Canis lupus familiaris: one gene and its partner. The protein of the gene in region 1 interacts with the protein of each later gene in a pairwise test. Links are inferred from orthologs where the notes say so. Each region holds a gene or a part of one and is shown in the gene's direction. Other genes may lie near its edges.

Region 1 (15,162 bases):
TCCCTCCTCCTGGACCCCATCTCCGTTCCATTAGTGTACTCTGTCAGCCCCGTTTCCCAAACGTATCTATTTTGCTCTCTTCTCTGCTGCCACCACGTTAATTCAAGCCATAATTGATTTCCTGTCTGGATTATTGCAACAGGCGCCTAATCGTCCATCCTACAGGCAGCAGCCAGAGTGATCTTATAAAATCTTAATTCAGATTATGTCATCCTTTTGCTTAAAACTCTCCAGTGCCTTCCTATTGCGCTTGGAGTTAAATCTAGCTCCACGATGTCCAATGTCTGGCATGATCTGCATGATCCTGCTCTTTCCTACTTGTCTCCTTCTCCCTCCCTTCTTTCCAGTCACCCAGCTTTCTTCTTTCTATTCTGCAAATGCTCCAATCCATTCCTACCTCAAGGTCTATGCACTTGCAGCTGCCTCTTCCTGCAGTGCTTTTCCCAGCATTTTGCTCATCCTTCAAGATCCAGCCCAAATGTCACCTTTTTTTTTGGAGGCCATCCTGGATGGTCCTTTCTAAAGTGGTCTGTCCATTGTGTCTCTCTCCCTTATTCTCTCTTTTTAAAGACTTAATTTATTTATTTGACAGAGAGAGAGAGAGAGAGCATGAGTGTGAGCGCATGGGGTGGAGTGGGGGTTGGGGATGGCAGAGGGAGAAGCAGACTCCCCGATGAGCAGAGAGCCTGATGATGTGGGACTCAATCTCAGGACCCGGGATCATGACCTGAGCCCAAGGCAGATGCTTAACCAACTGAGCCTCCCGGGCGCCCTCATTTTTTTTTTTTTTTAAAGATTTTATTTATTTATTCATGATAGTCACACAGAGAGAGAGAGAGAGAGAGGCAGAGACACAGGCAGAGGGAGAAGCAGGCTCCATGCACCGGGAGCCCGACGTGGGATTCGATCCCGGGTCTCCAGGATCGCGCCCTGGGCCAAAGGCAGGCGCCAAACCGCTGCGCCACCCAGGGATCCTCCGGGCGCCCTCATTGTGTGTCTCTCTTTAACTTGTCATTGTGTCTATTTCCTTTAGAGAATTATTATAATTTATAACTGTCTTGTTTATTTGAGTCCTGTTTGTTTCCCTCTATTAGAATGTAACTCCAAAGGAGTAGGTATCTTGTCTGTTTGGTTTACTACTGTAGCCCTGAAGTTAGGCCCAGGCTTTATATATAGTAGGTACTCTGTAAATATTTGTGAATGAGTATGCTTATTAATCCTTGATTGCAGTCATTATCCTGCATTATAATCTATCATTTATTTATGTGTCTCTTTCCCTGACTTCACCATGAGTTCATAGATTGCTCTGTTTCTGGAATCTAGTCCAGTAAATGTTTGTGGAATGGATGAAGGAAAGCAAAAGGAGCAATCAAAGAAAGGAGAATAATGAGGAGAGAGTGGAATTGAGGAACCCAAGGGAATAAAATTCAAATCACATAAAGAGAGGTGAAGTGACTGATCTGGCTCATACAAGGCACAGAGCCAGAACTAGCACCATGGGCATCTCCTTGGTGTGGAGGGGAATGTGGGCCAGACCTCTGGGCTGAATGTCCCAGGTGACTTTTTCCAATACGTTATTCATTCATCTGCCCTCATGTCTCCTTGCAGGAAGGACATTCCCCAAGAAGGGACAGACGTGTGTGGTGCACTACACAGGTAGGCTTTGCTCCCTCAGACTTCACCCAGACCTCCCCCTCCCAAAGAGGTCCCTCTTCTGATACTCCCCTCCAGAGATATTTGCTCCCTGGATCAGGCCCAAACCCTAAGAGAGCCAAGTCTCCCTCTGACCGGCTGTCCCCCACTTCTCAAGTCAGTCTTGTGGGCATGGGAAAGGAGGCTTGCAAGATTACCCCTTCCACACTTGTACCATCCTTGGAGCTAGCCTCTAACTGAGCCAGCCACCTCCATTCTCTTCCCTCTGTTGTGGGCAGCATGGAGCCCGGCCTTCCTGGTTCTGTCTGATATTTAGAAATCCCTTCTTAAAGCTTTGAGAGACTTGATCTTCCCTGCGGACTCCTTTTTACTCCTACAATATTATTAGAGAAGAGGAGGCCCCTGGTCTCCTCAGCATTTCTTTTCTTTTTTCAAAAATAGACTATCCAATTCTCCTACTATTTTTGAGCACCTACTGTGTGCAAGATGCTATGCTGGGCACTGGAGATACACAGATGAATAGAGAGGATTCCTTCCTTCTTTGGGGCTATGAGAAGTGGGGGAGACCAGTGATCCAGAGGCTCTGATGCAGTGTGAGAGCCAGGGCGGGTGGTGGTGACAGCAGTGCCTGTCTCAGGGTACTGTGGGCATTGGAGGAGGGCCCACATCTCGCTGATCCCTCTTGGATGCTCTGTATTGGAAGATCAGGTGGGCTGAGGAACATTCTAGTTGGAGTTCCTGAGGACTGCTGGCAGGAAGATCACGAGCAGGTATTTGTTCCAAGAGGGGCGAGTGCTCTGCCTTGTGACCTGTTTCCCAATGTGGCAAAGTTGGTGACAGCCACTTAGCAGACAGCAAGGCCAGTTTAATTCCTAGGACGTATTCAGATGGGGCCATTTTTAGCAGTTCTCTGGGCCAGTGTGAAGTGCCAGGTTAAATCTAGGCAGACAGTGTGGGTATTTCTCAACAGCTGTGTTGCGGGTCGCTGACGTCAGGGCGCTAGAGCTGTTTTATCTCCCGGTGATGTGGCCTAATTACCATGAGTCCTCTGGGGCCTCTGACCTGTGTAATTGATTTATCTGTTCTACATGTTGTAGACAGACTCGTACTTATCAAGTTACTAAAACCACAACACCCTTTTACAAAGACTTTCATAGTAGATACAGAGAGCAGGCAATGTGCGTTAAACACTAAGAGCCATGAGTGCCTCTGGTTTGGGGAGGGGGATCATCTCATCAAACCCAGCCAGAGACAGTATGGGACTTTTTGGTAAATTTTTAAATTAAATATAAATACAGTAGAGAACAGAAATCCAAGATGTCCAGTTCCATGAAATTTTTCAAAGTGATTACACTTCTGTAACTACCACCCAGATCAACACACTTCCAGAACCTGCAGGCATCTCCCTCATGCCTCCCCCAAGTCATTACACCTCCCTGAAGGTAACCAGCAGTCACATTTTTGTCTCCATTGATTGGCTTGGCCTGTTATTAAATATCATATAAGTGGACTCATAGAGTATGTATTCTTCTGGGTTTGTCTTACTTTACTCAATATTATGTCAGTGAGAGTGGTTTTTTTTTTTTTTTTTTTAAGATTTATTTATTTATTTGGGAGAGAGACAGGGGAGGAGGAGGAAAGGGCAAGGGAAGAGGAAGAGAGAGAATCTTAAAAACAGGCTTCACACCCAGAGCAGAGCCTGACCCAGGGCTCAGTCTCACCTGAGATCACGACCTGAGATCATGACTGTGATCATGACCTGAGCAGAAATCAGGAGTCAGATGTGTAACCACTTAGCCAACTGAGCCACCCAGCCACCCCAGGAATTCTTTATATATTCTGGATATGAGTCTTTTGTTAGCTGTACTGATTCTTTTTTTTTTTTTTAATATATTTTCTTTTTTTTTTTAATTTTTATTTATTTATGATAGTCACAGAGAGAGAGAGGCAGAGACATAGGCAGGGGGAGAAGCAGGCTCCATGCAGGGAGCCCAACGTGGGATTCGATCCCGGGTCTCCAGGATCGCGCCCTGGGCCGAAGGCAGGCGCCAAACCGCTGCGCCACCCAGGGATCCCAGCTGTACTGATTCTAATCACTTTCCATGCCAGGGCTTGTCTTTTTACTCTATTAATGGCATTTTTTTAATAGAAGTTCTTAATTTTAATGAAGTCTTATGTATCGATCTTTTCCCTTATAGTTAGTACTTTTGTGTTCAGCTCAGAAATCTTTGTCTGTCCCTAGATCATGAAGACATTCTTCTGTTTATTATCTTGTAAAGCTTTATTATTTTATTTTTCATATTTAAGTCTGTGATTCCTCTGGAATCGATTTTTGTGTGTGCATAAAATAGGGGTCAAGATTCATTTTTTTTTCTCCATATGGATATGCAATTGACCCAGCAACATTAATTAAAAAAAAAGAAATCATCCTGGGATGCCTTGATGGCTCAGCAGTTGAGTGTCTGCCTTTGGCTCAGGGTGTGATACCAGAGTCCTGGGATCAAGTCCCACATCGGGCTCCCTGTGAGGAGCCTACTTCTCCCTCTGCCTATGTCTCTGCCTCTCTCTCTCTCTCTCTCTCTCTGTGTCTCTCATGAATAAATAAGTAAAATCTTAAAAAAGAAATCCTTTATCTGTTGCAATGCTGTGACACCTTTGTTGAATCAGGTAACCATATATATGTGGGTCTGTTTCTGGGCTGCATGGTTTTGGCTGAACTTGTAGCAGTAGATAACTGTATATGGTCTGAAGTATATTGAGTCATATGAAACCTGAAAAAATTGAGGAATGAGAAAGCCACTCTTCAAAGGGAGTGTGTGTGTGTGCTTATCCATATGTGTGTATTTGTCCAAGTATGTGTCTGTGTGAATGGATGTAGATTCGTGGACTTAAATATTTTCTTAGCATCTGTTTCACCATTAGGATTTTTCTTCTGAATGTGTGTGCATAAGTGCCCGTGAGTATCTCTGTGTGTCTGAATATCTTAGCAACCTGTATTTGTGCATGAGTTTGTATTTGATCTCTTTAGTATCCATCTGTGTAGCCACAGGATTTTCTCCTTTGCTTGATTTCATACCTAGGGCAAGAGTCCAATTCATTATACCCAGAAAGCAAGAAAATGAGACTCTCCCTTATATACATTTAAATGGTAGGAATTAGGAAGTGGAGTCAGAGATGCTCAGACACTAAGCTTATCCAGACCTCCCATGTTAAACATGGCAAATCTGAGGCCATGACAAAGGAAGTGATTTGCCTAACTTTACACAATGACTTTGTGCCAGAATGAAGTCAGAATCCAATCTATAGGCCAGATCTTTCTGTGGTCTCAAACTGCCTTTTGTTGTGGTCTGAGGGCTGCAGGGAGAAATATTTGGAAGACCATTGTTTACAGAAGGTCTGATCTTTGAGCCAATCACCAATAAGAACTAAAAACAGAAACACAGCTCTTGAGCCTTAGGCGGCAAGGATAACACAGGATTTGTACTTCAGAGATGACAAAGCAACTACCCCTGGAAGCTCAGGGATGGTCCCTACTGTTGGAGACAGCATCAGTGTTTCTGGTTCAAACCGGCCCTTTTCCTGGGGTCCACCAATGACTGGGTCACTTCGCTCTGTTCTTTGCAGGAGGGGTGATAAGGCCTTTGGGTTTTATATGTTGGGGGACCTTGTGAAAACCAGTAAAGGTTGTACAGTGCAGAGGTATTTGAGAAAGGTGTGACCTGAATAGGACATGGTGGGAAGGAAAGGCAAGGGAGAGCAGAGAGAGGTTATCAGGCAGGCAGTCTCCAGGTCTTGAAGTACAGTGTAGGCATTTGGAAGCTGCCACAGGGAGCTATTGACGTATTGTAAGCAAGGGAGTAATATCCTATATATGTTTGTAAAAGACAGTCATTCTGGGTATAGTGTGGAGACTGGAATGGAGGAGTGAGAGTGAAGTAGAAAGACCAGTTAGAGGGCGTTCCTTATGCAGGTGAGACATGATGGTGACATGGTACAGTCACAGGCCAGTGGCAGTAGAAATGGAGGAGGTAGAGAGATGATGAAGGATTTAGTGATAGGCTCTATGTGGGGTAAGGCAGAGAGAAGTATCCGGGTTGCTTGCTTGGGCAACAGAACTGGTGGAGAGATGAGAAGAGGCACTGGTTTGTGCGGAACAGAAATTCCATTTTAGACATGTGGACCCAGACCTGGGAGTTAATTCATGACCACAGCTCTTCTCCATCCTCTTCTTGCTTTCACAGGAATGCTCCAAAATGGGAAGAAATTTGATTCATCCAGAGACAGAAACAAACCTTTCAAGTTCAGAATTGGCAAACAGGAAGTCATCAAGGGTTTTGAAGAGGGTGCAGCCCAGGTAGGATGGGAATTCTAATCATTAGGGGGGATTTGAGGAGTCAAGAGTCCGGACTCGGTACGCTGCTCTTGACCTATCACAGACCGCTGCCACTTTGACTCCACTGCCGGGGCATGGTTACACCATCGAGATTCAGTCCTTGGCTTTGTGCCCCCCACCCCTTCCCTTTCATTGCCAGCATGACCCCTTTAAGTCACTGGGGTCTCTCATTCCATGCACATCCCTCCAGGCCTGCTCAAAACTAGCTTCAGAGGGCTGTGAGCTACCAGCTGTCTGGGACTGACGCAGCAGGAGACTTGGGATGGGGGAGGCCAAGGTGGTTTTTTTTGTTTGTTTTTAACTTAAAAAAAAAAAAAAACCAACAATTTCAGACTTGCAAAAATATCACGGAAATAGTTCCCATATATTCTTTACCCAGTTTCCCCAAATGTTAACATTTTACATAACCATAGTACAATGATCAGGTTACATTAATTTGTGATCAGTTGCACATTAACATGGATACAGTACTATCAAGTGATCCATTCAAATTTTTGAGTTGGTTATTATTCAAAATTTAAAAATCGGTTTATTCAAATCTCACCAGTTGTCCCACAAGCGCCAGGTGTTGTTGATGACTGCTGGGATGAGCCCTGGTTCATGCTCTTCTCCCTTGGTCTCTGAGGACAGACCATGCTCTGTTAGAGTAGCTCTCTTAGCCTTCCCGACCTTGTGATGGCCTCTGATTGCTTCATGTCTTTAATGGACTGCTCTTGTTACCTCCTGGAAAGTGTACAGTACATGCGCTCTCTATACACCCTCTTTAGGTTCTTTTGGAAGAGAGTCAGGAACAATAATGAACAAATCGAAGTGTTGGGGCCATGCGCTAATTGAATAACCAGCAATGGTCGTTGCATGAATGAATTTGGGACTACTTTGTGGATGTTATTGTCCTACAGTGAAGTCTCTGCTGGTCTGAGGCAGAATCTGAGTTCTGCATCACTTCAGTATGAAGTGAACATAGAAAATTCATCTCAGATCTTCAGAGTTACCTTGAGGATGGTTTGGGAAAATGCCATAGTTATCTTACTTTTTTCTTTTAAATCAAGCTGGGTCCTCTTTCTCCTCTTCCCATCTGCCCCCATCCCTGCTAGATGAGCTTGGGGCAGAGGGCGAAGCTGACCTGCACCCCCGATGTGGCGTATGGAGCCACGGGCCACCCTGGTGTCATCCCTCCCAATGCCACCCTCATCTTTGACGTGGAGCTGCTCAACCTAGAGTGAAGGCAGGAAAGAACGCAAGGTGGCTGGAGATGGCTGCTACTCACCCTCCCAGCCTGCTCTGCCACTGGGACGGCTCCTCCTGCTTGGGGCTCTTGATCAGTGCGCTAACGTCACTGCCCCACAGCATCATCCATTCTCTGACCAAGTTGCTCTGTATGTGTTCATCGTTTACGCACATCTTTGCTTGAGGAAACTTTGGTTGCAGATCAAAACATTTCAGGTTGTGCATTTTGCGTGATGCATGTAGTAGCCATTTCTGATCACAGAATACAGATTTCTTGTTCGCACAATCTACACTGCCTTACTTAAGCCAGACACACAAGGTGCTCAGACGTGAAATGTACATGGTATACACAGAGGGACTTGAGCCAGTTACCTTTGCTGTCACTTTCTCTCTTACAAATTCTGTTGGCTGCTGACTTACACAATGTCCTCTTTGGAAATGATATGTAAAATAAAGGCTCTGTGCTTGACAAATTCCTGTCCATCCTTATTATAGGAAGGAAGTGCTTTAAGGACTGCATAAACCAGTTGCCCTTGGGAAGGAGTAGAAAGGAGCCTTCCAAATAGCCAGGAATGATAATAAACATAATAGCTATGATGTGAATTTTGTACATGCTGGGCCTTGTTCAACGTGTTTTTAAATAAAATTGCCACCAACCCCCTAAGCAGCCCTACAAGGTATTAACTTGCCCTTTGCCTCATAGGCTCAGAATTCTCCTCTGAATAACTGAAGGAATATATTGTGTTCAAACCTCATAGCCTAGCAACCCAACATAGGACTTGAGCACTGTATGTGACCTTGCAGTCTCTCTTTGTTTGGACTTAAGAGGGACAAGTTCCTTCACCTCGCCCAGAAGGAAAGGAACACTGTGCCTGGACAAATGAAGTGGGTTAGGTCTTGGAGCCATATACTAACTCACACTGGGAAGTTACTTTTGAAAAGAATGTGTGATTCTGAGTTTGTTTTTATATTTACTACTTAGTTTCATCTAGATTTGCTCTTACACTGGGGTATGATTTCTGAAAAGAATGTATGATTCTGAACTTGTTTATGCATATACTGCTTATTTTCATCTATATTTACTGTAACTTATGGGAATTCCCAGTTAGGTTTTTATTATTATAATTTATTTTTAAGATTTTATTTATTTATTCATGAGAGACACACACACACAGAGGCAGAGACATAGGCAGAGGGAGAAGCAGACTCCATGCAGGGAGCCCAATGTGGGACTCGATCCCGGGACTCCAGGATCACACTCTGAGCCAAAGGTAGAAGCCCAACTGCTGAGCCACCCAGCCATCCCCCTCAGTTAGGTTTTAAAATCAGCCCACTTACTGGTTGTGTGTTTGTCAGAGGAGTCCGGGGCAATGTGGCTAAGATTTTTCTTTTGACATAAGTGAGAAAAGCTCTTAGTCATAGGGTTATTCTATCAGTGAGGATTTGAAATTAAGATTGAGGAGAGGCTGGTAGGTTAGTACTTAGTTTCCCACATAGATTCATTGGTACATGTCCTATGTCATACATATGATATGCGTCCATAACATCTTGGCTACTTATCTACTCCCTTTGTCTCCAGAAAGTCCTGGCCATATTCCTCTGCTGAGGAGTTAAGGAGTAGTGCTTCAAGATGGAGGAAAAGAAATGAGCATCCATAACATCTTGGCTACTTATCTACTCCCTTTGTCTCCAGAAAGTCCTGGCCATATTCCTCTGCTTCAAGATGGAGGAAAAGAAATGAGAATTGGAAGTGCTTTTTCTTTTAATTTTTATTTTTCTAAAAGATTTTATTTATTTATTCATGAGAGACACACACAGAGAGGCAGAGACACAGGCAGAGGGAGAAGCAGGCTCCATGCAGGGAGCCCGGTATGGAACTCAGCCCCAGGACTCCAGGATCACACATGGGGCTGAAGGCAAAGGCAGGCGCTATCCTGAGCCATCCAGGGATCCTCCAGAATTCAAGTTCTTATAACTTAAGTGTAACAGGCCACAAAATTGCCAATTAGAATCTTTAAAGATTTTAAGTAGTTTCTACACCCAGTGTGGGGCTCAGATTTACAACCCTGAGATGGAGTTGCATGCTCTACTGAGCCAGTCAGGTGCCCCCAAATTGGAATTTTTTAATGTTTAAAATATTTTAAAAGATTTGAGAGAGTGCGCTTGTGCACACATGTGCACCAGGGAGGGGCAGAGGAAGAGGGAGAGAAAAACTTAAGCAGACTCCATGCTGAGAGCCAAGCCCAACATGGGTCTTAGTCTCACGACCCTGAGATCATGCATGACCTAGTTGGAAACCAAGAGTTGGACACTCAGCCAATTGCGCCACCCAGGCGCCCCAGACAATTGAAATTTTTAAAACTCAGCCTTAGGTCATGAAATTCAGCTAACAGATGTACTAATCCAAATGATGGGACTGGTCATAATTGTCAGTGGAAGCAATTTCCCCTTGTTATTAACTTAAAACAACTGCACTAGAGCAAGCCAGTCTGCCACTTAGACAAAACACACTAGAAGTCTGTTTTCCTCTTACAAAAAAAGTCTTTTAGAAAATTAGTTTTACATTGGTAAATACCTAAAGGCACAGCATGAATTACACAAATTAATAAGGAATTCATAAAAGCATTCAGAAGAAAAAGCTATGGCTCCTTTATTATCTCCTTGCCCTTCTTAGAAATAGTTCTTTCTAGTCTTACAGTGCTTTCAAAAAGCATGGACATAATAAAGAAGTTCTTCATTTTCAATAGCAGGCTTTGAGAAGACAGTACAAAAAGTATAAAATAGCATATTATTTTAAAGTAAGCATAAAAAAAATAAAGCAAGCATAGATATCAAAGCTAGCATTTAAATAGTAGAACAGATGTTTTTTGTCCATTTAAATGATTCAGTGGTTGTACCCTTCAAATTGATTTTGGGTTATAGTTATATACAAAACAATTGGTCCATGTTTTTTCCATTTGGCCCATGCCTAAACTATAAAAAGAAAATTATAGCTATCTCCTCCAAGCTGCCAGGCTATGATGAATGTGGTAATAACCATACTATTTCAATGCCATGGGAGCGTATGATTATAAGAATAAGCATTAAATATTCTTTTTAAAAATTTTTTTAGCATTAAATATTCTATTTAGGGCAAAGATATACTATGAGCTAAGGACCAAGATATCCATAGACACTTATTACCTAAAGGAAAAGACTGCATAATCCAATCTTAGACTTGTAACAACTTCCACCACTACCCAAGAAGCATGCTCTCAAATTTCTAACAATGTGCTGTCATCTGAATGGCCACTTCTAGAACTGACTTCTATTTTAAGGATGGGGTATTCATATTGACAAAGGTGTTTTGTTAACTGTAAGGCAATTATTATTTAAATATATTGATGTGGTTAATACTGGTTGATGTTACATCAACTTTTTATGTAAACATTTTATTCATCCAACCAATACAATGAGCTTTGGTTTCCTTATCTGCAAAATACCTTCACTGAGTTGTTAACATTCAACAAATGATAGCACTCTAAAAATTTCCCTTGATGGCTAAGCACTAAACTGGACATCAGAGGCATTAAGAATATAAAAAGTTCCCTGCTCTTAAGAAGCATGGTCTCTGTGACCACCTACCACCAATTTTTTTTTTTAAAGATTGTACTTTTGTTTATTGATGAGAGACAGACAGAGAGAGAGAGAGAGAGAGAGAGGCTGAGACATAGGTAGAGGGAGAAGCAGGCTCCATGCAGGTAGCCCAAGGTGGGACTCAATCCTGGGACTCCAGGATCATACCCTGAGCCGAAGGCAGATGCTCAACCACTGAGCCACCCAGGCGTCACTACCACCAAACAATTCTTGATACAGTTCGACTGCTAATTTGTTTTCCGGTATCAAATGAGAGGAAGCTTAAGAGAAAACACTGACATGTTTTACAAAAGCTACAAGTTTTACAAAAAGCTACAAGTTTATTCACATAACATATTTTAAAATGTATCAAAGTTTTAAGTAGGTCCTTTTGAATCTTGAATAAGAAATCACAACATTCAGCATTAATTAAAAACAAGAAAAGGGTGATGGTAGTCATTTATGGGATGTAGTCTAAAATGAAAATGCAGAAAATATTTATTTTGGTGGATCTGTGTTGATGCCATATTTCTCCTTGAGAAGCTTCAACTGTTCTTCCTTCTTCTTTGTGTCCATCTTCTGAAATGCCTGAAATGTGGTAAGCACCAAAGTTAACAGTTACTGATCTATAATCAAATGAATTTTACCAATAGCACTAGCCAGACAAGAATTCCTAGTATACTCTTCCTTTTCCGGTATATTAATTCTTAACATGCTCCCCCTGCAATGAGGACTGTGGCTAATACTTACCCTGTTGGCATTATAGTACAAAACCACCAGGTATCTGTTACAAACATTGAATCCTGAAAGGTGATCACATGCATTCTTGGCATCAAAGATGTCTTCATAGACCACATAAGCTGTTCCTCTAGTTTCAGGTGTGTTCCCCCTGCGGAGTGAAATAAGACTTAATTAAAATACACATTTATTCAAGATAGGAAGGATGCTGGCTGGGTTTGAGGTTGAGTGTTGAGGAGAATAACTACCATGACCTCCAGTGCTTTGATGAAACCTCAGATGTGAGGCCTTCTGGCCAAGCATCTGCGATTTCATATTATTGGAGCATTCCCTGAGGGTTGCAGGTTTCTAGAAGTTTCCTGTGGTCAAACCAAGAAAGGAGGATATGCAGATTTCTACAGAAATGATTCCATGAAAGAGTTTGAGGAGATGAAAAGGCTGGTATCTTCCAGAATGCAAAGTGATTTTGGAATGTAAAGAATTTCTTTGGATTGAGTTCCATGGAAATTTGTCCCTGACCTGTGTTCCTGAACTATGAATGCTGAGCTATGGAATAGTTTCTCTTTATAAATAAACTACTAACAAATCTGTGGAAAAAAATACACATTTACCAGAGCACTGATAGTTAAATAACAGTATTGTCTTTAAAAGACAGTAAGTGAAGTTTATATTTTGAGATCAACCTGAACACTGTTAGAGGAAATAAGTAAGCATTATGGATAGGTATGCTGGATAAGCCTACTATTTCTTGAATTGAGGTAATTTTTGTTCTCTTTTTTAAGTAAAAGAGCTACAGGTTAAACTTGCTCTGTGTCAAGATGACTACTACAGCTACCAAAGCACTAGCTGCAAACAACTAGCTTGAAACTTTGTCTGAGTCTTCATATTTACTGTTCTAGTCCTTCCTACTTCTCACGCTAAGAACCAATTCTCAATCTTTTTTTTTTTAAGATTTTATCTATTTATTTGAGTGTACAAATGAAGAGGTGGGGGGGCAGAAGGAGAGGGAGCAGACTCCCCACTGCGCAAGGAGCCTGAATGGGCCTCAATCCTAGGACCCAGAGATCATTACTGAGCCAAAGGCAGACAGACATTTAACTGAGCCACCCAGGTGCCTCCAATTCTCAATCTTAAGCTGGAAAGATAGTATTTTGGAGAGATGGCTTGTAAACGTCAGCAATGTCTAGAATGAGGTTTTTCTTACTGCACATTTATGCAACAGAACCAATACTTAAATTATTTACCATACTATTACCTGTAACTAGTCCCTTGTTTCTAAAGATTTAAATTTTCTCTCTCACTATAATTTTTTTAGAGATTTTATTCATCCATTCATGAGAGAGAGAGAAAGAGAGAGAGGGAGAGACATAGGCAGAGGGAGAAGCAGGCTCCATGCAGGGAGACTGACACGGGACTTGACCTCGGGTCTCCAGGATCAGGCCCTGGGCTGAAGGCTATGCTAAACCACTGAGCCACTGGGGCTGCCCTCCCTCACTCTAAAATTTTAATGTTTTATTTTATTTTTTTAAAGATTTATTTACTCTATCTATCTATCTATCTATCTATGAATGATAGACATAGAGAGAGAGAGAGAGAGAGAGGCAGAGACACAGGAAGAGGGAGAAGGAGGCTCCATGCCAGGAGCCCGATGTAGGACTCGATCCCAGGACTCCAGGATTGCGCCCTGGGCCAAAGGCAGGCGCTAAACCACTGAGCCACCTAGGGATCCCCTAAAATTTTAATATTTTATTTTATTTTATTTATTTATTTATTTTTAATTTTTATTTATTTATGATAGTCACAGAGAGAGAGAGAGAGAGAGGCAGAGACACAGGCAGAGGAAGAAGCAGGCTCCATGCACCGGGAGCCCGATGTGGGATTCGATCCCGGGTCTCCAGGATCGCGCCCTGGGCCAAAGGCAGGCGCCAAACCGCTGCGCCACCCAGGGATCCCTAATATTTTATTTTTAAGCAATCTCTACACTCAATGTGAGGCTAGAATACATGACCAAGATCAAGAATCACGTGCTCCACCGACTGAGCCAGCCAGGCACCCTTCCCTACCTCTAATTTTAGTTTTAATTGTTAAAAACAAGACAGTCTCCATCAATGTAGGAAATGTTTCTTTTTTAAAAAAATATATTTTTAAAATATTTTATTTATTCATGAGAGACACACACAGAGAGGCAGAGACATAGACAGAAGGAGAAGCAGGCTCCATGCAGTGAGCCCGATGTGGGACTCGATCCCAGGACTCCAGGATCACACCCTGAGCCAAAGGCAGATGTTTAATCGCTAACCCATCCAGGCATCCCAAAAAAACATTTTATTTATTCATGAGAGACACACACAGAGAGAGGCAGAGACATAGAGGGAGAAGCAGCCTCCCTGCGGGGAGCCTGATGTGGGACTTGGTCCCAGGACCCCAGGATCATGACCTGAGCCACCCAGGTGCCCTGGAAATAATTATTTCTCAGCAGTATTTTACTAAGGTTTATCAAATCCATAAAAATAAAACCTATTTTGTGTCTCTAGAGGGGGTGGTGTGGAAGCCACTACCAAGATGATGGCAAAATAGTGATATCTAGGAAAGCAGCCAACCATTATCCTTTATGGCCAGGAAAGGATATAAAGAGTTAATGCAGTTTCTCCCACAGAAGACTCACTGCTTTTCTAAAATGTGGTATGGTCAGCTCTCAACTTTTCATACATTCATTTTTAATATATGCACTCCCATGCATTACACAGGTCTGTTTGGCTTGGGAGAAGGGCTGAGCTTTGACAGAGATGCGTGGAAGGGATTGTGCAGGGAAGGGGTGGGGTTATCTGCAGGCCAGGGCAGGTTGCTAGAAGTGGAAACTGGACCTTGCTTGTGGATACTGAGCTGCTCCTTGTGTAGGTTTTCCTTGCCACCTCCTCTCTTCACCTCACCAGCTTCCTTCCACAGGGAGGTAGGGAAGTGTGAAGAGCAACAAACTGCAGGCAGCAGATGGCCAAGTGCTTGTCAGTGGGGGCAGTGGGCACAGGTCCCACTCAGCTTATGCTCCCAGTGTGATAAAGATGGACCCCTCCATCTGTGTTCTAGTCACTCAGTGCCAACTGTGGAGTAAGGTTTAAGACCGTGGGCTGCCCCTCCATCTGCCATAGTTCCTGCATAGGGTCAAGCAAAGGCAGTAGGCCATGGGAAGGGGAGGTATCTGTTAAATTTGATCCATGACAGGACTAGTGTTGGACCCTGGTCAGAGCTATGCTTCTTGTAAAGGGGGATGGGAGAGGTACAGGGTGGTGGGGTGGTCAGGAGGTGCCAATGTCCTTGAAAGCTTACAGGCTATCAGGCTGAATGGGCCCAATGAGGGATTTTATAATATTCCTTACTCTCAGGGAATAGTCTAACAACTTTTGGACTTTAATCTCTACACCCAACATGGAGCTCAAACCCCAAGATCAAGAGTTGTGTGTTCTTCCTACTGAGCCAGACAGACACCCCAACTTCTGGACTTTTGACTTTTAATTTTCAAGAGTGCATTAGCTATGAAA
Region 2 (15,782 bases), on another chromosome or scaffold:
ATATTCACAAAGGCTTCTAGGTTATTTTGGCATTTTGAGCATATCAAGGTGGTTAGTCCCTTGCAATTCCTTAATGATTTCCATGTAGGGGAGGTGCTAGAAAAGAAGAATGGTATTTCAAACTGGAATTTTTTAAAAGAAAAACGAAGCTGGAGAATTGTGTACAAAGAGGTGACTAGTTGTCTATGACCATGGAGAGAAAAGATTCTTTGGGGGGGGGGTGCAGAGGGAGAGGGAGAGGGACAAGCTGACTTCCTGCTGAGCAGGGAGACCAACAGGGACCTGGATCCCATGACCTGGGGATCATGAACTGAGCTGAAAACAGATGCTTAACCAGCTGAGCCATCCAGGCATCCTGAGGAAGAGAGACTCTTAAGGAGGCTCCACACTCAGTGCGGAGATCCTGAGATCCCTGACCCTGAGATGATGACTTGATCAGAAATGAAGAGTTGGATCCTTAACCAACTGAACCACCCAGGTGCCCTGAGAAGAGATTTTTAACAACTACTTATGAAGAATGAGTATAATAAAAAAAAAATAGAGCCTCTAGGTGGTTGTTAATGCATTTGGGGGATACTATTCTTAGATACGTAGCTAAAATCCAGGGCAATATGGGATGAAGGGCCATGATTCTCAGAAGGGGGTTAGCATTTCTTGTCAGAGTAAACCAAAGCCCAGAAGTGGGCTTTGAATTACTCCTTGGAGGATAAAAGAGATTTTGATAAGATTTTGTGGCCCTAGGTGGCAGAAAAAAGAGAGAGAAAAAAAAAAGACATGGTTGGTTAATGCCTGCATTTTATCTGAGAGACAGTCACTTGGTTTGGAGCCAACACAAAAGAGTACTTGAAAGTAAATATTGAAAGGAATGTGAAAGGCTTTATTGTAGAAGGTCTCAAATGCCAGGCTGAGGGGTTTGAACGTAATATGGTAGGTGTTTGGGAGTCATTCTTCAATGGCTTCAATTCTTACTGTGCAGGGCAGGGACTCGTTGAAAATATTGTTGTAGGAGGTTATTTTGGTGGAGTCTGGAAGATGGTTCATGGTAGAAAAGAGCAAAACCCAAGAAGGCTAGTTACAAAATTAGTGAAATAATTGGGGACATAAAGACAGAATCAGGAATATGTCTTTTACCCATGAAAGGACACTGATGTTGGGGGTGAAGATCAGGGAGTGTCTTAGTCTGCTCTGGCTGCCTTAACAAAATCCCACTAACTGGGTAGGCAGCTTAAGCAATAGAATTTTATTTCTCAAGGTTCTGGATGTGCTCCCAAAGTCTCACTCTGAGGCCTCTTTTGGCTTGTAGGCAGCTGCCAGTTCACTGTGTGCTCACAGGGCCTCTTTTATTGGTCTCGTCTTCTTCTTCTTCTTTTTTTTTTTAAGATCTTATTTATTCATGAGAGGCAGAGAGAGAGAGAGAGAGAGAGAGAGAGAGAGGCAGAGACACAGGCAGAGGGAGAAGCAGGCTCCATGCACCGGGAGCCCGACGTGGGATTCGATCCCGGGTCTCCAGGATCGCGCCCTGGGCCAAAGGCAGGCGCCAAACCGCTGCGCCACCCAGGGATCCCTGGTCTCGTCTTCTTATACAGGCATTAATCCCATTGGGAGGGGCCCCCACTCTCATAACCTGATCCAAACTTACCTCCCAAAGGCCCCACCTACCTACCATCACATCAGGGGTTAGGCTTCAGTGTGTTCAGTGAATTGTAGGGGGCCACAAACATTTGGTCTATAATAGGGACAAACTGAAGCAGGTGTTTAGCTTTTGGATCCTAGTCATGGTACAATAGACCTAGGCAGACCAGGAAGGTCTACCTTGCGGAGTATGTGACAGCCATGATGACCAACTTGTCAAGGCACTGAGCAATTTGCGGGGGCAATGTCTCTGGGGAGCCCATACCTCCTCAGGAACACCTTTTTCACTAAAAAATAAAAGATTAATTAGCAAAGTTTTAGTAAGGTAGGGTCAGACGTCTCTGTGATGTCAAGGGCACTGCTGACTCCAAGAGATAGATCATGTTCATTTTTATCATCTATATGCAGTTCTGTCCTGATCCTGGATACCTGAATGCTAATTATAGTCTGAGATTTCACAATTTTTTTTTTTTTTTTTTAAAGACAGGATTTTTTTTTTTTTAAAGATTTTATTTATTTATTCATGATAGTCACAGAGAGAGAGAGAGAGAGAGAGAGAGAGAGAGGCAGAGACACAGGCAGAGGGAGAAGCAGGCTCCATGCACCGGGAGCCCGACGTGGGATCCGATCCTGGGTCTCCAGGATCGCGCCCTGGGCCAAAGGCAGGCGCCAAACCGCTGCGCCACCCAGGGATCCCAGATTTCACAATTTTTAGCTCAATTTAGGGAACAGATAAGATAGTGATGATAACTTTCAAACCTTGAAAAGTTGATTTCCCTTAAGAACCCAAACTATAGAGGATAAGTTGGATTTTATTTCTGATCACATAATAATCCCTGCTTCCTTCTCCAGAGCCTCATCTGGCATTCTATGAGTTAGCAGGACCCCTACGATTGGCTTGAAATCAGGAATAAATCTCCTGGAGCTGCCAGAGCCTTTTTTTAGTTTGTGTTAGTTCAGACTTTTCTTTTGCTTTCTATGCTGGGATGGGGGAAGGCCAATAGCATGAAATAGTGACAAATTGCTCAGGTCTAGAGACCTCTGACCCTGGTCTCACCACTCAGCAGCTGTGTAATCTCAGTCTTCATTTAGCTTCTACAAACCTTGGTCCCTTTCTCTCTACAATGGCATTCCTGTAAAGATGGGAAAGGCAATAAAAATTTAGTCCCTGGAGCACAGTAAATGCTCAGTATATGAGCCTTTATCACCACTATCATCATCACCATCACCATCATCACCACCATCATCATTGCCATCACCATCATCATTGCCATCACCATCATCACCACTATCACCATCATCATTACCATCATCATTCTGACGCCATTCCTGACCACCTTGCATTAATGCAGCCCCAGAGATTCAGGCTATGCCCTCCGAGGATCTGCTGGAGTTTATTTTTAGTTCAGGTCCACATCAGAACTCTACTATTTTAGGGACACACATAATAAAGATGGAAATAAAATGGACATTTTCTAAAATATTGGCTTGTGAACTTCTAGAACATGATAAGAATAAATGCTGTGAAACCTTCCTCAGGTATTGAAATTGAAATCTGAGTTGAGGGGATCCCTGGATGGCTCAGCGGTTTGGTACCTGCCTTCGGCCCAGGGTGTGATCCTGGAGTCCTAGGATCAAGTCCCACATCGGGCTCCTTGCATGGAGCCTGCTTCTCCCTCTGCCTGTCTCTGCCTCTCTCTCTCTCTCTATGTCTCTCATGAATAAATAAACAAAATCTTAAAAAAAAAAAAAAAAGAAAGAAAATCTGAGTTGATAAGCAATGGGCTTAATCTCCAGATACTGGGGCCTTTCCAGTCCTGCATTTTATAAGGATCTAATGACAATTCCAGATGCTTTCACCTCAGCATTAGGGTCTTTAACTTAGGTGATCTTAACTGAAAGAAGCCAAATTAAAATGATAACACTGAGTATTTTAGCTCATTTTCTGTAGAAATCTTCAGCAAGAAGTTATTTTTTCTAATGCTTATATACATCATTGGTGAGATTAGTAAATTGTAAGCATAAATGAAATATCTTATTCTGTGTTAATGTTTTCTTCTTTAAGGCTGTCTAGAGTCCTGCCAAGTGAACAGTGGCCACTTTGAATTAGTTGACCATAGAAAAATTCTAATTGAAAATAAAAAAAGAAATATATTTTTTCCATCACTTGCAGGATATAACATTGGTCATAAAACACTTTCCAGATTTGGACTAAAATGCATGGAAATACCATTCTCTAAATTATTATTTATTATAATTAATGAAGTCCTAAAATGAGATATTATAGGAAACACATATGTTTCTATAGAGTACAAAGATTTCAATTAAGATGACAAATTTCAGTAACAAAAAAGCAAAATAAACTATTATATGTAATATGCACACAGTAAAAAAGAAACATTTTTATAAGAAATATAAAAAACAGAGATATTAAGAGTGGATGCTTATGAAAATTCTAAATATAATTTTTTTCTATTTTATGAACTATAGTTATGTAGCTGTGAAAATATGTATTTGCCAACTCCTTATAGCTTAAGTATACCATAAGAATTAAAGACATTGAGGGGCACCTGGGTGGTTCAGTCAGTTAAGTGTCTTGATTCTTGATTTCTGTTCAGGTCATGCTCTTGGGATCCTGAGATCAAGCCTGGCATTGGGCTCTGAGTTGAGCATGGAGCCTGCTTAAAGGTTCTCTCTCCTTCACTCTCTGCCTGCCCCTTCCCTGCCCCCAACATGTGCTTGCTTTCTCTCTCTCTAAAAAAATAATAAAGACACTGAACATAAACTTTAAGCTGTAACCAAAACGATTTCTTTTTCTCAATTAAAATTATATTTCAAATGGAGATTAGTTTTCATCCTATTGTTCTATGATATTTTCAGTCAAAACCAATTTTCTATGGTTGTTCACCAGAAGAAACTAGGAAATCATACATGAACTAAACAAACTAAAACAATCAGATTTTTAAAAAAGTTTTTATTTAAATTCCAGTTGGTTATCATACAGTGTTATGTTAGTTCCACGTGTACAATTTAGTGATTCAACACTTCCCTACATCACCCTGTGCTCATAATGACAAGTACCCTCCTTAACCCTCATCACCAATTTCCCCCTATCCCCCACCCACCTCCCCTCTGGGAATCATCAGTTTGTTCTCTAGATAAGAGTCTGTTTCTTGGTTTGCCTCTCTCTCTCCCTCTCTTTTTCCTGATGATCACTTATTTTGTTTCTTAAGTTCCACATGTGAATGAAATCATATGGTATTCGTCTATGACTGACTTATTTGCATAGCATAATACTCCCTAGCTCCATCTATGGCATTACAAAGGGAAGATTTCATTATTTTTTGTGGCTGAATAATAATATTCCTCTGTGTGTGTTTGTGTGCATGTGTACATACCACATCTTCTTTGGGCTGTTTCCATAATTTGGCTATTGTAGATGATGCTGATACAAACATTGGGGAACATGTATCCCTTTGAATTAGTATTTTTATATTCTTTGGGTAGATACTTAATACCATAATTGCTGGATCACAGGTTAGTTCTATTTTTAACTTTTTATGGAAACTCCATACTGTTTTTCAGAGTGCCTATACCAGGTTACACTCCCAGCAACAGTGCATGAGGGTTCCCCTTTCTTCACCTTCGTGCCAACACCTGTTGTTTCTTACGTTGTTGATTTTAGCCATTCTGACAGATGTGAGGTGATATCACATTGTAGTTTTGATTTGTATTTCCCTGATGATGAGTGATGTTGAGCATCTTTTCATGTGTCAAAACAGTTATTAAAAATACTGTAAGCAAAAAACCCCCATAGCTCTTAGTAACTCTAATAGTTTTCTTATAAAAAATTACCTCAATTTTTATACTTATGAAATATAGAAAACATATCAGAGTACCAAAAATAATATCACACTCACATACTCACCATTTGCTGTATTTCCTTCAGTTCTTTTAAAAATAAATAGTGTGATGTATCATTCTCCAACATGTTTTTAAACTTTTAGTGCAGGTTAGAGATCTATAAACCTCATAGTAGTGTATTTTTTGTGTTGAAGTCTACATAAATGGTATGTTTTACAAAAATCCTCTGCTCTGTTTGCTGTTGAAGAATTATTATATGGTGAATATTGAGTACTCAGGCCATTTAGCATTTTATCACCGATGTTGAGAGAATTAAATAAATCATAAATATGACTCTTGTTAGAAAAATGTGTAGCTTACCTAATATGCCAAAACGAAAAACTAGTAAACTAGAGTTTTTATATGTTACCCACTGTATGGGTAGAATGGAGTAATTCTCAAACATACATACATTACGTATGTTTGCTTTACACAGTTAAGAAACTATGTCTGTGTGGTTCTGCATAAAATACAGAAAAGCTCAATCTGATATGTCATAAATTTGGAAGATCAAATTATTTAACAAAATTATGAGCCCATTTCAGAATACTGTCGTCCCTCATGGAAGACTCTGATCTTTTGTGAGAACTCTGATTGCTCATTTAGAGGTTCCTAGGAGTAAAAATTCACGTGAATTGTAACGGTTTACTAATTTAGGTGTCATGGATCACTATCCAAGAATATGTCCGGTACTTAGGTAAGAGGACTAGTATCATTAAATAGAACAGAGCATTACTAGCCTTACCAGGGAGGGAAGTATTTATAGTACATTGTTTTTGGTATTAATTCTACCGGAAATATGCAAAATTCACAGAGCAAGTATAAAGTTGATGAAAGCAGCAAGTAAAATGTATGCTGCATAGAACACACGGGTAGATTTTAGGAACTAATTAGATGCGTCAAAACGTGTAAAATAGGTAAGCTGATGCTAAACCTTCATTCTACAGTTTCTTCATCTTTGTGGGGTTGACATTTGGAACTTTGCTTTGCATATACTTATCGTTGAGTATCTTAAGCGAAAGAGCTGTAGACTAGAAACAAGAGATTAGTGCTTTCTTGTCCAAATTGTCTCAGGCCCTGCATTTTGTTAATCACAGCCATTTGTCAAGCGCGGCGTGGTGGACGACACAGATATTGTTATTCATGGTAGGAAGCCCGAATTTCTTCAGAAATAAACGACTTCCTGGTGAGGATAACCGGTACCAGAAGATTCCTGGTGTCGCTCCTCGGCGATTCAAATGTATTTTACCCCTTCTTTATTGCAATTCGTCGTTGATTTGAAGTTTGCACTTCTAATCAAACTCTCTTGTCTGTCTGTCTTGGACCACAGGTGTCCGGCGCAGGGACTCACCGGCTATTCGCGGAACGCATTTGTTAAAAGTTCTGCGCACCGAGCACCGAGCACCGGGCACCGGGCACCGGGCACCGAGCACCGAGCACCGGGCACCGAGCACCGAGCCCCGGGCCCCGAGCAGCGATGACCAGCGCAAGGCGCGGCACGCGGAGGCCAGACGCTGCAGGATGCTCGGTGGGTCAGGAGTAGAGGAAATCCAAGTTCAGAGAGCCGCGTGGCGGGGAACTTGATTCGAGGTGACCCGCTCCGGGTGAGGGACGGCTCTGGCTGCCCTCCGGAGTCCGCGGCACTGGGCGCCCGAGAGCCGCGGCCCCCGCGGGTGGACGCTTCGCCCGAGGGCGCAGCGGGAGCGGGAGGCCGGGTGGGAGGAGCTGCGGGCCGGCGCGGGGGCAGGCGGCGGCTCCCCTCGGCTCCCCTCGGCTCCGTACCCCGCGCAGCCGGTAAGCGGCGCTGGGCCTCGGCTTCGGCGCGCCCGAGCGCGGGGCTGCGGACTACCTGCCGCAGAGGGGAGCCGGCGAGCTCCTCCCCGCGCCCCCGCCCGCCCCGCCCCCGCCGCGCCACCAGCCCGGGCTCCGCGGGCGCCGCGCACTCGCTGGCGGGAGCCGGGGCCGAGCGGTCCGCCGCGGCAGGCAGGGAGCCCGGGCCGGCGCGGCTGGGCTGCGGGGGCGCCCTCCTCCCGCGCGGTGCGGCGCACCGAGGCTCCTGCCGCGGCCGCCCCGCCCGCGCCTCCTCCCCCGCTCTGCAGGCGGGGACCGCCCGGCGCTCGCCCCCGGCAGCCGCGGCCCCCTCCGCCCCCGGCTCGGGGCAGCGCGGCGGCGGCGGCGGGAGGCAGCGCGAGGGGCCGCCACCGGGCTCCGCGGCGCTCGGGAGCCAGCCCCGGCGACAAGGCGCGGAGCCATGGCCGATGGGGGCGAGGGCGAGGACGAGATCCAGTTCCTGCGAACTGTAAGCGGCGCGCACCCCGCACCCCGCACCCCGCACCCCGCTGGCCCCGGGGACGGAGCACCGGCGCGGCGCCCTGCCGGGGCTGGGTGGAGCGGCGGCGGCCGCGGGGGCGGGCGGGGGGCGGGCTGCCCGGGGCTCCGGCGACGCCGGGCGGGGGCGCCTGGAGGGGAGCGGGGAGCGGGGAGCGGGGAGCGGGGAGCGGGGAGGGGAGGGAGCGTGTCGGTGCGCGGGGGGGCGCCGGGGACGGAGCGGGCGGGAGGCGCGCAGCCTGGGCCCCGGGGCGCGGGGGGCCGGCGGGGGACCCGGGAGCCGCGGAGCCCGGAGGAGGGGGCGCCGTGCGGCCTGACCCGCGGCGGGGCTGGCGCCTCCCCGGTGTCCTCGGGGGCGCGGGTGCGGACCGCGTGGGCCGCGGGGCTCGGGGCCGGCGGGGACGCGCGCTGCCCCGGGAATCCCGCCTCGGCGCGGTCCCCGGGCTCGCGGGCTCAGCCCGCGTCGGTCTGGCAGCCCCGGGACTCGCCTGCTTGGCGGGGAGCGCGCGGGGCGGGCGGGCCCCGAGGGGTGCGGGACGCGGCCCCGGCTCCCCGGTGGGCGGCTGCGGAGGGCGGGGGCAGCCCCCAGCGGCGCCGGGGCCGTGGTGCCGCGACCGCGGGGAGACGGAGTGTGTGTCTGCGCGTGTGGACGTGGGTGTGTGCAGTGTGCGTGCGCGCGGGGGCGGCGGGCACGTCGTGAACGTGTCCCCTGAAGGCTGGCTTGTTGCACGCCTTGTGCAGCAGAGCGCGTGCGTGCGTGCGTGTGTAAGGGCAGGCGGGGCAGCGGCCCCGAGTGTCCGCACGGGGGGCGGCAGGGGAGGGTGGGTTCCACAGGAATACGATGTTCTCTCCGCAAGCACCTCTTGGCCCTGCTCCTCCTCTTGCCGGTTTGCTCGGACGCTGCAGATACTTCCCAGGCCGAGGCGTCGCTCACCTCAGAGCTGGGGCCGAGCCTCTTGGCAAAAGAAAATGCTGTGACTTCCTGTTAAGAAGAACCGAGTTAGCATTTGCAGCATCCTTTCCGTCGTTCCTTCTCCTGCACTTGTTTCCTCGCTCGGAAAGATACTTCCTTCCCGGATTCCCCCCACCCCCGCGCGAGGACTGCAGCTTCTGCTGCCACTTCTTTACTAAACAGTGCAAAAGAGATCATTTCCCAATTGCCTCCATGGTGACGACAATTATGAATTTTGAAATCTTACCAGATAGTAACTTTTAGGGGTAAAATAGTGTAGATAATGTATTTGGGAGCTGAACAAGTGAAAATGGTGAATTTGTCCAAAACATTGTAAGTGACCGTTTTTTTCTTTTTGCTCCTCTGATTTTTTCAAAGGTATTCATTTTCACTTAACATCTGGGGGGGTGGGGTGGGCAGAAGAAAGCCTTTGGAAAGGACAAAAATCCAGGGTCCGCCTCCGATGGGGAATGATCTGAACTCTGGCTGCATGTTATGCACCATTACATATGCTGTTCCAAGTACTACTAGCCCAAGATCCAGCTCTGAAGAGCCTGTATGCTAAAACCTTGCTCATGGGGAATGTCATAACCCTACTAGTAATAAGAATTTTTTTTAAGTGAAAAACTTCTATAAGGTTTAAAAAAAATCAGGGGCGCATGAAAATATGTTTCTCCAAACCGTGGGATCTTTTGTTCAGGTGGACAAAATATTTAGTTGCTGTATAATTTTTAAATTCAGTTTCCCTACCCCCAAACTCTATAGGGTTAAAATCAGCTAGAGAATTTTGGAAGGCTTCATGCACTCAAGGGCTTCCTGCAGGCTCAAATGTTCAGCCAAACCTGGTGGAGGTGGTGTTATCAGAATACTTAACAGAGACCAGGGTAATGTGCTTGCTGATGGGGTTCTGCACATATAAAGTAATGTTAGGTCTGTGCCACTCAACAGCTGTCTGTCAGCCTGAACAACACCTTTGATAAGTGGGTCCTGTGTAGAGATCTGGCAGTCCTAGGCTGGGATTTTTCTTTTAGTAAAACATCCGTAGGTTGTGCTGATAATAAATGACCTTGAAGGAAGTGGCATAGTGGAGCAGGGGAATTTTTTTGAGTATAGCTGAACATCTCAAAGGAAAACATGTTTTTTCCTCTAAGTTTGGCAGTTTTATCTGGAAACACTCAGATCCTTTACCAGCTCCTCTGCCTCCTGCCCTTGTTGCTTTCCATTCTGTTTTCTTAACCTGAGAATGTGAATGGCTCAGAATTGGTAAATGGAATTAGTAACAGAGAGAATGTAGTTCTTACAATAAATTAATCTCGTTTTTATTTTTTCTGGAGTGTTCTTGTTTTTGTTTTGTAGTGTGCAATCTTGCAGTCCCGTCATTGTGAATTACTTCTTTTCTTTTTTTGTTTTCAAAGCAAATTGTCCAGGGAGTATTAACAATCTCCATGTTAGATAAAATAGTTTTAAGTTATAAATGAAGCCATTGTATTTTTAAAAAAAGAAAAACAGACATTAGGAGACCTTAATTGTGAAGCTGAGTGATCATTTCATACATCTGATTAGAGCACCTTAAGTATCATCTTGGAGTTTTGCACTGTAGCTCATTGACGCATCCTTGACATCCTGGCTACAGAAAGCTTTTTTCCTTCTTTTTCTAGAAGAGGTTTGTGATCCCTGTTAAAGGAAGCAGAGGTGAAATCTTTTTTTTTTTTCCAGAGGTGAAATCTTTAATGAACTATGTCCATGAGTTATGTCCACTGCTGTGAATTAATTCTTCATTTGTGAAGGGGAATTTTGTCACTGGTTAGTCCGTGCCAGACCCTCTCCCATCTCTTTTCTTTTCCATTATGCAGTTGTGAGTTTGCTGCTATTCCTTCCTTTCAAGTGCTTATGTAGATGAGACAGCTTTGACTCGGGCTCCCCCACCAGCTGGAAGCATTCCCACTCTGATGTGTTTATCTTTTAGAGGAATTGAGAATGTGGACGTGTAAATTCTGGATGTGCTGGGACATAATCCGATCATAAAATGAGCCCTTAGCCCATAATGGATATGTTCACTGTCATATCTCAGCATGCCCATGATTTGGAATGTGTGGTTGATTTTATTTTAAAATTTTCAAAAAAAGTTTTTTTCATTAACTTGTGTGTCAGCGAACTGTAATTTGGTATTTAAAACCATGGATGTTCTTACTTATGATCTCTCTTTTTCAAGAAACCTTACAAAATTTTATAGGAATCCTTAAGAGAACCACGATGTAAAATGACGTTGGGCCCAGGTCGATTTTTCCAAGAAACTTTCTTTTATTTGTGTAGACAAGTTGAGTTACTCTTGGTGTACACTTTGTCATCTAGTTTTTGTACTTAGGCATAGATTGAGATTGAAAACTGGATTATCAGGGGCTGCAAAAATCATGCTGATGGGAATGCTTTAGCTTCCCTCCGGCCTTCCTTTGCAGAACAAACTGTAGATTTTTTCACAGTGTGTGTACATCTTGCTGATAATGATACAGAGCATTTTAGAAAGCAGTCAGCAACTAATAGTAAGCATCATAAAGTATAAATGCCATGCACAACAGTGTAAAATAGATTGGGCCGGAATATTTAACCTTGTTTGTAAAGGTACAGGAAGGTTAATTGTACAAAGTCAGAGACTCAACCGTGTGGAAGTAAGATTAAAACTCAGGTCCTAGGCTTGTGTCCTTTCCAGGAGAGAAGGGCTGCTTCTCAGCCTTTCAAGAATGTTTTAGCTTTACAGCAAACAGGATACCTAATCACTTTTGTCAGCTGTAGGAGTACAAAGGAAAAGACTCTGAGTGAGCTGTGGGAATTTCCACCTTTTGCTCCCTTGATAATGAAGGCGTGAGGAGGAGCTTTAGATAGATATGCACTGTGGTGTTTTTTTCAAGGAATTGATGGAAAGCACACCCACGCTTACATAATCAGACTTTTTTTTTACTTAAAAATTGGTGTGTACACATTCGTGGGAAGGGCAGACTCAAACAATTAGGGCACTGATTTATTTGACATTCAGTCTTACTTATACTTGGGCTTTAGATAAGTGTTTCTATCAAGGCTGAGCTAGCTGAGCAAAGATTGCAACTTCTGGGGACTGTGCCTCCGTAGATAACCCTTGGAGAGAGGAAGAGGCACGTAAACACACATTTGCCTTCTGAAACTGTGACATTCTGGAAATTCGATGAATTCAGAAAAACGTTTGTTGAACACCTTCTGTATGCATGGTGTGATATTTGGTGTTAAGGAAGAATCCAAAAGAAGGAGAGTTGTGGTTTGCAATTATAGTCGCAAAGAAAAGGTTTAGGGGCTGGCATGGAACAATCAGGAGGACAAAACACATGTAAAAATTCTAGGACATTAGGGTAAAAAGAGACCTTTAGAGAATGCCACCTCGTCTACCTCTGTCTCCCTCCCCGCCCATCATTTTGCAGGTAAGGAAACTCAAGCGCAGAGAGCCAAGATGCTTTGGCCCAAGTGTCATACTCCAGATTCGCGGCTGTCTTGGTCACACTGCTAATACCATACATAGCTTGGTGGCCTAAACAGCAAACATTTATTTGTCATTGTCCTGGAGGTCAGGGAGTCCAGGATCAGGGTGGTGGCAGATGCATTGTGTGACTTCTTCCTGGCTTGCAGATGGCCATCTTCTTGTATCCTCATATTGCTGAAAGACAAAAATCATCTCTCCTGTGTTTCTTCTTATAAGGGCACTAATTCTGTTTCGTAAGGGTCCCGGCCTCTTGACCTACTGACCTCCTAAAGGCCCCACTTCCTAGTAGCACCCCACTGGGAGTTCGCATTTCAGTGTATGACTTTTAGGGGATGCAGACATTCAGTCCATGGCATGGAGTAACACAGGAGGCATGAAGAATCTCTGAAGAACTGTCAGGAAGGTCACTCGCAACACCCCATTCTTCCTTATGGGGTAGATTCAAACCCACTGTCCCATTTTATCCTTATCTTCCCCTTCCCAGGGTTCACTGTCCAAATCTGCTCTGTCTTCCCAGCCATTGACCAGGAAGCTTCTTTCCTTCTCGAAAGTTGCAGCTTCTTAGCGTCCTAGACCCCAGGGCTTGCCTCCGGGTCCAGGACTGGACACTCGCAGAACGTGTTCCATCCTCTCTTTGCCTCCCTCAGTACTGGTCCCTTGGTTGATCTTGAAGCACAGTCATTTCTCCTACCTCACAATTTCTGTGTTTGACCCCAGTGCCTCCTTCAGCTGCTCAGCTCTTCCCAGTGTGGTCTCCACCCCTGCTTGTGATTGCCAAGCCTGGCACATTTGGAGTCATTTTTATACTTTCCTGTTCATGCTTCTTGGAATTCTTTTTACTTCTTTTGCTCCAAGATTGCTTATCCCCAAAGATCCTCTCCCATTTCCCGTTCTGTCTCTTCTGCCTTTGTGAGCTCATCTGTGCCGCAAAGCTTGGGATCCTTGGAATGAGAGTTTGAGAAGATGTCATGATGACCTCACCCATCCTATAATTTCTCTGAGAGCCAGAGAAATTATAGGAACTTTCTCGAAGTCCTTCCTTCCTATGGGAGACACCCACCACAGATCTTATAGTCCTCAGCCCCTTATTTCTAGCTGTTGGCGGCCTTTGTTTTGACTCCCTTCCTACCTGTGGATACACCATCCTGAGCTCACGGGTACTCAGTCCCCTGAGTGGCTCTTCATCCCGGTGACTCTGTGTTGGTCAATGGCACTGCCATTTTAGGCTCTGGCCCAAACACACCAGTGTGGCCCTCATCTTTAGAAGCCCTGGGTCTGGGATCCCTGGGTGGCGCAGCGGTTTGGCGCCTGCCTTTGGCCCAGGGCGCGATCCTGGAGACCCGGGATCGAATCCCACATCAGGCTCCCGGTGCATAGGGCCTGCTTCTCCCTCTGCCTGTGTCTCTGCCTCTCTCTCTCTCTGTGTGTGTGACTATCATAAATAAAAATTAAAAAAAAAAAAAAAAGAAAAAAGAAGACCTAGGTCTGAGGCCTTTCTCCACCAGTACCTAGCTTATGTACTTGAGAAAAATTTAAACATTTTTCTTACACCCTAAATATAATATTAGGCATTTCAGAAGGACTTTTGAAGATCATGGGATAGAATTTGTGTGGAAAACCAATTCCAGTGTCTGCCTCATGGTAGATACTCCATGCATTGCTTGAGCTCCTTTATCCTCCTCCTGTAGCTCATTTGGCATCTTCTCCTGTGCTGTTTTCCTTGGCCTCTAGCTCAGATTTTGATTTCTTTCATACCCCATTACTTGTTCTGACCTCCATCGTCCCTCGGCCCCAACCAGCCACTAGCAAAGTGCCTTGAAGCCTCCTGCCATTTGAATCCTCCTAAAACCCCATGTTCATGCCACCACTCCTTGGTTCCCTATTCCTGTCTTATCCATTGTAACCCCTCTGCTTGGCTCATGACCATCTGTAATCTGATTTTTGATAACCTTACTTACGTTCCCCATCCTGCTGGAGCTTTTGGATTGCTCCAACCAGTTCTGATTTTACCTCTCTGAGACCATTTCTCAAGCGCCCCAGTTCCACACATTTTATCACTTATCCACGGCCCTGATTTGGGTCCCCTGATGCTCTGTGGGAGGGTTGCCACCGTGTTGGTGTGGGGGGAGGCATTCATTTCCCATGATGCATAGCACAGCATTGCCTACAAGGATAGGTTTGAGGGGAGTAGTATGGTGATGGAAGACCAGGATAAGAGAAAGGTTACCCCCCGCCCCCTACTCCCTCAATTAAATGTGAAAACCATGTGAATGTGTTCAAGTGCAGAAAGAAGGAATCTGTGATGAAGGAAGTAGGCAAAGGGTGTGGGCGAAAGAGTGTTAGTGAGATCCCTCCTAGAGGCAGGAGAGTAGGAGGTAGGTGGTTAGGCTTGAGAGGAGGAGAGAGGAGGTGTGGGGATGAGACAGGCTGGCTTGGTTGGCTGTGTGAGGGCTGCAGGGGACCCTGGGCCAGCTGGGGAGGGCAGCTAGTGCCAGGCATGTGAAGAACATCTGAGAGAGGGAAGTTATTAAGACAAGTGACCTAAGGAGAGAAAGAGTAAATGAAGGCTTTAGGAAGTCTGAGTGATTGGGGCTGCCCAAGAGAGACACTGAGTCCCTGTCGGGATTTGTATTTCAAGTGAGAAGCTTCTAGATAGTGAGGTAACTTCCAGGGCATTGCAGCGGCATCCATTGCAACACTTATTTTCATCACTGTTAATCATGGGAAGAACACTGGAACATGAGGGGTTGTGTGACTTTGGGGTCGGAGGTGTCCTATAAAAACTCTGGGAAAGATTGAGCTGGAACTTAGCTCTGAGGGGCCCTCTGAGTTTGTTTCACATTTGCTAAGAGTTGTGAGGGTCAACCAAACTCAAACCATGTAGAAGGATGAGAATAAGGAAAAAATATTGCCCTTGTGTTAGAAGTGTATATTTTTTTTTGGGGGGGGGTCTCTGAAAATTCTTATCCTGGTAGATCACAGGATTAGTCAGTAACTAAACTCCTGGAGAACTTCTTTGCTTGTGTTCTCTACTGTCTTAACTTCAAAGGCCTTCCCTGGCTTCCTGTTACTTGGGTCAATGAACAAGTATTTTTGGGGTTTCCTAAAACATTCTAGTTGGCCTCAAAGCCCAGACAGAAGGTGGATTTCCTGGTTCCTGTGGCCCAGTAAAAGTTCTGTAGTGAGGTTTTTGGCAATGAAACAAATCGGGAGTTTTCATCACTGCCACTAACTTGGAGTGTTCAGAGGACCTGCCTCTAATTGCTTCCAAGCTCACTCACCCAACAGGGTTCTCCCCAGGGTAAGGGACTGAGAGAGCCAGAGCCACTGGCTGCTCCCAGTGAGACCTCCGCTTAGTGGCTGGGTGAGGGTGTCTGCTGTCACCCAACCGTTGATGAGTATTGGCCGGTTTACCTGAAGACCGCCTCCCATCTAGCTGGGGAGTGACGTGGATGCAGGGCA

Evidence for each region.
Region 2: the proteins of FKBP1B (region 1) and RYR2 interact in binary tests that used the Homo sapiens proteins (3 or more experiments, as listed by UniProt). The link is inferred for Canis lupus familiaris from reciprocal best matches to the Homo sapiens genes FKBP1B and RYR2.

What each region holds. Positions count from the first base shown.
Region 1 is NC_049238.1:18,598,453-18,613,614, forward strand, and holds the end of FKBP1B (peptidyl-prolyl cis-trans isomerase FKBP1B), read left to right. Parts: intron 1-1,608; coding exon 1,609-1,656; intron 1,657-5,894; coding exon 5,895-6,007; intron 6,008-7,095; coding exon of another isoform or gene 7,096-7,140; coding exon 7,141-7,269; 3' UTR 7,270-7,746; downstream 7,747-15,162. Other genes in the region: SF3B6 (splicing factor 3B subunit 6), read right to left, coding at 11,387-11,476, 11,639-11,777. UniProt on the Homo sapiens protein: Has the potential to contribute to the immunosuppressive and toxic effects of FK506 and rapamycin. PPIases accelerate the folding of proteins. It catalyzes the cis-trans isomerization of proline imidic peptide bonds in oligopeptides.
Region 2 is NC_049225.1:3,462,599-3,478,380, reverse strand, and holds the start of RYR2 (ryanodine receptor 2), read left to right. Parts: upstream 1-7,717; 5' UTR 7,718-7,786; coding exon 7,787-7,834; intron 7,835-15,782. UniProt on the Homo sapiens protein: Cytosolic calcium-activated calcium channel that mediates the release of Ca(2+) from the sarcoplasmic reticulum into the cytosol and thereby plays a key role in triggering cardiac muscle contraction. Aberrant channel activation can lead to cardiac arrhythmia.